2 linked regions of the Arabidopsis thaliana genome follow. The protein of the gene in region 1 interacts with the protein of each later gene in a pairwise test. Each region holds a gene or a part of one and is shown on either strand. Other genes may lie near its edges.

The links. Proteins that work in one complex are often made in the same cells at the same time.
Region 2: the proteins of BBX13 (region 1) and BBX29 interact in a two-hybrid assay, tested with the Arabidopsis thaliana proteins (one large-scale study listed by BioGRID).

What each region holds. Positions count from the first base shown.
Region 1 is NC_003070.9:9,774,991-9,779,999, reverse strand, and holds BBX13 (B-box type zinc finger protein with CCT domain-containing protein), read left to right. Parts: upstream 1-1,956; 5' UTR 1,957-2,342; coding exon 2,343-3,128; intron 3,129-3,319; coding exon 3,320-3,487; intron 3,488-3,771; coding exon 3,772-4,016; intron 4,017-4,129; coding exon 4,130-4,232; 3' UTR 4,233-4,478; downstream 4,479-5,009. Other genes in the region: AT1G28060 (Pre-mRNA-splicing factor 3), read right to left, coding at 1-243, 357-833.
Region 2 is NC_003076.8:22,113,802-22,117,163, forward strand, and holds BBX29 (B-box type zinc finger family protein), read right to left. Parts: upstream 1,739-3,362; 5' UTR 1,515-1,738; coding exon 1,020-1,514; intron 936-1,019; coding exon 783-935; 3' UTR 503-782; downstream 1-502.

The DNA.
Region 1 (5,009 bases):
CAATTGTAGTGCTTTCCTAGCTTTCGCTGCTAACGCTGATGAATCAAGAGGCAAGTTTGCACTACTTTTCCCAGCTGTGGACAATGGTCTTCCATCTGTACTAGATTTTCCAGGAACCTCATGAGATCTGACAACACTAGCCTTATTTTCATCCGTTGTAGATATCGAAGATACCTTAGTGAGCAGTGTTTGACTAGGGGCAGCAGAAGCTTCCGATGGAATAGAACTATATGTAGAGGCTCCCTGCACAAAAAAAGAAAATGCAAGCATTAGCTAGCGAAGAAGACTAGAGGTAATCATGAACAAATCGCAAGTAGCAAACAAAGAAGATTAACGAAAAGGTATAAAGAACTCACCATCGTAACGCCACTGGTTGGATTCGTAGCCCCAGAACCCTCAGAGACTTGAGCATCTTTGTTCTCAACTTCAATAGCCACATCCTCAAACCTGCTCCTCCTCTCACCATTCCCATCAGCAAACCTAGATTTCTTCTTCCCATCCCTAGCCCCATTCTCTTCCTCTCTATCTTTCCTCTTGCTCCTCGATTCCTTCTCTTTACTACCTTCGTGAGACCTCTCATGGTGATGCTTTTCCCTATCTCTACTCCCTTCTCTCTCGCCTCGCTCTACAGATCTCCCTCTTCTATCCTTGGTCCTATCTCTCTCATCTTCCCTATCGCCGCGCCTCGATGAACGGTAGTGATCTGAATCACGACGCTTCGAATCAACATCGCGGTCACGGCGGCGTCCTCCTTCACGTTGTGGAGAATGGTCGGGACTCGAATCTCGATCACGATCGTCACGGTGGCTCCTGGAATATCTCTCCTTATCCATGGCAGAATTTAGGGTTTATTCCTAACAACAATTTGCTTCTGATTCGCCGGTCCTATAAATATACGAAAATTCACAACCGGAATAAACCAGCGATTCAGATTAGAACCAAAACGACCAGCGAAACCAAGTTCTGAATCAGATTTTTGTTCCTTCCGGAAAAATCCTAAAGGGAGCGAAACGATACCGGATCCGGAAGATATATAATCCAATCACCGGACTACAAGCTTCCCTTATGGGCTGAAGCCCATTTTTGAGTTCCTTCTTGAGATAGTTCTTCAATTTTGAGTCTAATGGGCTTTTATATCATCTTTTACTTAAAAAAAAAAAAATCGACGATTCATCTTCTATAGAGATATATGAAAATTCAAGCTATTTATCTTTAAAAAGAAAAATATTTGATGTCAGGTCGCAGTTTTCTTACAAGCAGAAATCCAAACTCTTCATACCAACTATTTTTGGAATAAACAAGATTTCTTTGCCAAGAGTTTTCATACCAACTATTTTTTGGATAAATAAGATTTCTTTGCCAAGAGATTTCCACAAGTTGACCACAAATTAAACATTCGATCAAAACTCAAGAATTCAAATATAGAAGTATATAACGCATATATTCCGCTTTGACTCAAAAAAGAAAAAACCCGCTCATATACTGTATTATGTATAGTCTGAATCACAAACTCTCTAACACGTGAAATTTAATGCGTTAGTCAAGAATCGTTCCGATTGTTACCACTCCCCAGGAACTTTTTCAAGATATTTATACCTCAGAATGATAGCACTTTACAAATAAGTTATACTTTTTTTCAAAACAAAAAAAAACAACTTATTGAAGTCTATGGACAAAAAGAAAATATCTAACATGAATCCTAAAATATCTTTACGATTTTAATTTTATCACATCTTTTGTCAAGAACTCGTGTGTAGCAGTTTATTATGCACATAAATATATGCTATACATTACGCTGCAATGTTCGTAAATACTAGTTCCAGAAAAAGACGATTCCAGCCGTTATTACACTGATCAAAAAGTTATTGCTATATACGGAAAGAATTAATCCCATAAAAATCATGTGCTTTGAACTAACTTTCCCTTTATACGTTAAAATAGATATTTAGGTGAAAAAGCAGATTAGATATTTTCTCTTAGATTCTCTGTCACAGTCAACGTAAGCTTCGCCGTCTGAACAATGGCGACTCTCTCAGCACGCTTTTACACCGTCAGATCTCAACATATCTCAATCTGAACAATCCATCATACACAAGTTCCATACATCGCAACACAGAAAAACAAATCCCTAACCCCAAACTGTTTACAATAATTAGCTTCGTTGTCTTCTTCATTCCAAAAGATTTGCAGATAATTTTGACAAAGCCCCCCAAAAAAAAAAAGAGTTCAAAATGAAAAACGTGAGAAATGGATTTGTCATCATTCTTCTCACCGTCCTTAGTCTCTGAAAATAAATTCTGATTTTGATTTCGAATTTTAGGGATTTTGAGAGAGAGTCAGTTATGAGTAGTTCGGAGAGAGTACCGTGCGATTTCTGCGGCGAGCGTACGGCGGTTTTGTTTTGTAGAGCCGATACGGCGAAGCTGTGTTTGCCTTGTGATCAGCAAGTTCACACGGCGAATCTGTTGTCGAGGAAGCACGTGCGATCTCAGATCTGCGATAATTGCGGTAACGAGCCAGTCTCTGTTCGGTGTTTCACCGATAATCTGATTTTGTGTCAGGAGTGTGATTGGGATGTTCACGGAAGTTGTTCAGTTTCCGATGCTCATGTTCGATCCGCCGTGGAAGGTTTTTCCGGTTGTCCATCGGCGTTGGAGCTTGCTGCTTTATGGGGACTTGATTTGGAGCAAGGGAGGAAAGATGAAGAGAATCAAGTTCCGATGATGGCGATGATGATGGATAATTTCGGGATGCAGTTGGATTCTTGGGTTTTGGGATCTAATGAATTGATTGTTCCCAGCGATACGACGTTTAAGAAGCGTGGATCTTGTGGATCTAGTTGTGGGAGGTATAAGCAGGTATTGTGTAAGCAGCTTGAGGAGTTGCTTAAGAGTGGTGTTGTCGGTGGTGATGGCGATGATGGTGATCGTGACCGTGATTGTGACCGTGAGGGTGCTTGTGATGGAGATGGAGATGGAGAAGCAGGAGAGGGGCTTATGGTTCCGGAGATGTCAGAGAGATTGAAATGGTCAAGAGATGTTGAGGAGATCAATGGTGGCGGAGGAGGAGGAGTTAACCAGCAGTGGAATGCTACTACTACTAATCCTAGTGGTGGCCAGAGTTCTCAGGTTTTGCTTATCTCTCTTTTGATTTTTTTGGCTAAGAACAGTTTAGTTTTTTCTGTTAATGAGCAAGTGAGATTAAGTGGTGAAATGTTTTTGTGTAAGGTCAAATATAGTCACTCTGTGTGGTTTTATGGTTTCTCAAGAAGATAAAAAAATGAAAGGTTTCTTAACCTGTGTTGTGAACTTGTATACAGATATGGGATTTTAACTTGGGACAGTCACGGGGACCTGAGGATACGAGTCGAGTGGAAGCTGCATATGTAGGGAAAGGTGCTGCTTCTTCATTCACAATCAACAATTTTGTTGACCATATGAATGAAACTTGTTCCACTAATGTGAAAGGTGTCAAAGAGATTAAAAAGGTAATAGTTCTCATTAACCTTAGTCATTTAAGTAGAGTAGTGTTTAAAACACAATACGTTGTCATCTCCCGTTCATCCTCAAAAATTGTTGTAGACAGTTGCTTCTTTTAGTGAATGATAGAATTCAGAACATGAAACCTAGTCAGAAAAAAGTTACAAGCTGGTTTGCTTTTCTTTGTTTTACCTCATCACCAAGCCACCAATTCTAACATTTTGGCTTATGATATATATTTGCTAGACTGCTATGCAACTTAACTGTGATGCTGATTAGGATTCTTTTGCAGGATGACTACAAGCGATCAACTTCAGGCCAGGTACAACCAACAAAATCTGAGAGCAACAATCGTCCAATTACCTTTGGCTCTGAGAAAGGTTCGAACTCCTCCAGTGACTTGCATTTCACAGAGCATATTGCTGGAACTAGTTGTAAGACCACAAGACTAGTTGCAACTAAGGCTGATCTGGAGCGGCTGGCTCAGAACAGAGGAGATGCAATGCAGCGTTACAAGGAAAAGAGGAAGACACGGAGGTAAATGCTGCTTTTTTCTTTCCCCTTTAATAATTTTTTATTGCCCATCTCCCTTAAAGAATCTGATACCATATTTCGTTTCTCCCTTTGTCTTGGATCTCGGGTGCCAACAGATATGATAAGACCATAAGGTATGAATCGAGGAAGGCAAGAGCTGACACTAGGTTGCGTGTCAGAGGCAGATTTGTGAAAGCTAGTGAAGCTCCTTACCCTTAACCTTAAGTCTCTTCACATAGGCTTCCTTTTAGCTACAAACTTAGTTACTTTTTTTACTTCCACTGCCTCATAAATGTACAGACCGGTCTCGTTTCATCTGGCCGCCCTTCTGTTTTATTGCCTTATCTGGCCCTTTTATGTACCTTGGAATCTTATCTAGTTTAAAAAAGATTGTAACCTTCTAGAAAACCATATTCTGTTGACAGTATATACATGTCTATCCAAGCATTTTGAAGTCTCACAAGCTAATACGCCTTGATACTCTTTGTTTTAAAAACCCTGACTTATGGCTGTTAATCAAAGTTTTCCAAGTCCAGTTCGCAGATGGCGAGCGGATCTGCGGCTGTGGTTCTTCGTTGCTGTTTCTTTGGTGGTTCTGGCTGTGTTGGCCAATTCAGAAGGTATAAATCTCCCTACTTAAAGAGTTACTCACAGGCGAAATTCCACAATCAGTTTATTCTAGTGTATAATACATGTAGTGGATGTTGTATAATGTTTATGCTTGAATGTCATATAGCTCTGCAGACGTGGGATCCGATGCAGGTGACAATTCTTCTTAAAAGACAACTAATTCTCTGACTTTCCTCTTAGTGACTATAAGAATAGACCAATTCTCTATTAAATTTTTCGTTTAACAATTCCCTCAATCAAGAATTCTCTTCTCTGTATTTCTCCTCTCCATCTTTATCTTACCTCTCCGAAACGCCTTGAACCCTCAAAAATGTCCTTCATCCTACTCGGATTCATATCTTAATAAATGTGAACCACTTGGAATCC
Region 2 (3,362 bases), on another chromosome or scaffold:
ATATACGATCAAGAAACCAAAAACTTGGATCTTCTCATTTCTCACAAAACAAATAGATTCAAAATTAGAAATAAAACCAATTTATTTAGTTACATATAAATCATGAGAGCATCATTTTTTATTTTTTTGGAGCTTCGAACACGGTTTAGATACAAAAGACACGATGGGTTCAAAGCGTTTGACAAATAAATTTTTTTTAAAAAAACTTTAAAGGAGGACCCCATGGTACTAAATATCTTCTTTTTTCTAAGTCTTGACAACTTTTTTGTTTGATTCTTTTTAGTGGTCGTAGTTACAATTTACAAAGCTAACGGACATTCATACGTTATGTACTCTTCAGTTGTAACATCACAATGACACAGACACTTCTAGTTCTGGGAAGGCAAATAAAATTGACATCATAATAAATTTTGGTTTTGGCTGGTAATCCTTCTCACGTTATAAATTTATAATAATATCTCTTGTTTCACTAATTAATTTTCTTAATCATTTTCGTTAAAAAATAAATAAATAGAAAACAGCTTCATTTTCTTAATCATTTTCTGAACAACTTTGCTTCATTTTATTTTTTATGTTATATGATTTTATACTAGACATATGAACATATATATTCTAGGTAACACAGAAAAAAAAACACAAAAAAAAATCATTATATTGAAATGTTTTTAAACTAACTCAACTCACTAAAAGTATTGTTGTTAGTAAATGAACGATGAGGATTAATCTAATCAACCAAACAAAAGAATCATCAACGGCTACAATCTCTACTTTCCTTGGCGATTTCAATAAAACGAAGACGACGATGATGTATCACATCCCTCTGCTTTTCTCCTCCCTCCGTGTAATTTCACGATTGAGCTATTCATCACAACAGTTGATCTTGACAAACCTTCGTCTCTCGATAATCTTTTCAATGGTCTAGATTGGTTCTCCTCCTGCATTTCAAAAAGAATTGTTTCAGATTTCTTAATCATTTCCTAATAATAAAAGAAGATAAAGAAAAAGATTCATATTCATACATCGGAGAGGTTAAGATCCAAATCAAGTCTCGTCCTTTTCACCACCTGATCTCCTTCACCACTACTAACCGAAGACGACGAACTCACCACCGGAAGTTCTTGCTCCACCGCAGCCGGAACAACCTGATTCTCCACTTCTTCTTCTTCTTCATCCTCATCGCTTTCCTCATCATAAGACTCAGCTCCGTCGTTACAACCAATGATCTCTTCTTCTTGGTTAAGATTCTGATCCCTCCCGGCGAGGGAGCTGTTGTTATTCTTCTTACGAGCTAAACAAGACTCACAGATAGAAACAGTTGGGCCAAGATTCAGCCCAGAAGCTTTCCAAGGCGTGTGTGACTGACACGCGCTACATAGAAGACAACGCATGTGTTTCGCCACCAGAAAATTAGCTCCGTGAACTTTACCGTCACAATCCCAACATAAACTCGCTTGATCTGACTCACAATACATTCTCGCTACACCACAACATAACTCGCACTTCTTCTTCCCCATCTCTAGATATTATCTCGCACAACCACAACCACAAGCTCTCTCTCTATGTCTATCTCTGTCTCTAGATGTTTGTGTGTTATAAATATTCTTGGTAAGGTCTTTTGCTTCTCTCTCTTCTCTCGTTTCTTCTGCGGACACGAATAAGAGACAGCGTAATAGAGAATTGTAAAATGAGAATTTCGTGGCGACTTTTATGTGATTTAATTCTTTTCGAGGATATTGTCGTCTTTTTGATATTAACGAAACGATTTTTCACGTAATTTTTTAATGAAATGCAAAGAAGCTTCCTAATTTTAAATTAGAATAAGATTAAAGGATTCGTTCAAACTTTAATTTTTATGGTGGATAATTTGTGGATAATTTTGTATTAGTAGTTCTAAATCTGTGTTTGAAATTGATTAAGGTTTCCGCGGCTGAGTATTATTCTCGAATTCTTAAATTTAGGAGAGATGATAATAATAATAAAAATTAAAGGAAATGTTGTTATTTACTTGGTCCTGAAACCATGTACTGGGACAAGGCTCTCCTATGGGCGAAGTCTTACGTGTCGAGATATTATTCGTTTTATGTTTCATCAGATATTTTTATGCGGTTAGATTTTTAGTTAATGACGTGGCGAGATATTAGCCTCGTATAGAGGAGAGGGAAGATTCTGAGTTATCCTACGTGGACGAATCAGGTTCTGTAATAGACTTAGAACCACGTGATCCGCACCTGGGATTTGTCTGGTCCTCAATACACGTCTAATGGGTCCACTCTTTTTTCTTTCATTTTTTACTTTTTTCAGTATTCCTCTCTCGTTCCGGTCCAAGCGTTTTGTTTTCGAAAATGAAAAGTGAATTAAATATCATTTATATCGTTGGTATTACGGTAGGATAATAATGATGATCGGATTTTTAATATCGCATTTTGGGTTCGGAAATTTTGGTGTCCATGAATCAACATGGTTACTAGGAGAAGAACCTAATTTTATGATTTTATCAACCACTTTTAGCGTTCCATATTTTACATAATTCGAGTTAAATGTCTTTTTCTCTAAATAAAAATAAATAAATAAATCCAACCACTAATTTTACATTTTTACTTCACATCATTGGCAATTCGATATATTACTTGTTATTTGCTAATGGTAATTAAAAAGAATATAGAATATATATTTGAAAAATTATTAAACCTGGATTAAAAAAATGAAAGGTATTACGAATTTTTATCTAAAAAACAGGATAGATAGATAGCTAAGAAGCTTGTAGTTAGACAAATATTTTTTGTCATTTCAAATGTTTACAGTTGTGAGTTTTTAAAAGAAAATCACAACGATTTTTGTATGATAGAGTTTGATCTGTGGTTTTGATCCATAGAACAAACTAATTCATCTATGATCAAAGATGAATTAATTTGATTATTTGTATTCATTTGATCAAAGGAATTAATTTGTATCACGAAATCGAGATTAAGACTAGCAAAGATGGATTGAAAGTCATTTTAGGATAACAAATAATACGTAAAATATATATAAGAACAAAAAAAATGGTAAAGTTGGGCCTACGTAACATGCTTGAGAAATTTTTACGTGGCGAAGATTAGTGGTGTAAAGGGTGAAGTGTGAATTGTGAAGAATCAAAGGAACACGAGATGTCTTCATTTGAGAGCCACATGCATTAAAAAAGCGCTGATGAGTGGAGGTGTTTTGAGTTTTATGGTTTTTTGTTTTTTTACTTTTAAATGTTTGTGGATGACAACTTTAGAACAACTTAGAAGAAGCCTCGAATCAATACACATCTATCTTACGAATTACTCCTTATTTTTTGTTAGTTCTTTTCCATTTATGTTTTCTTTTGCAAGTTTCTT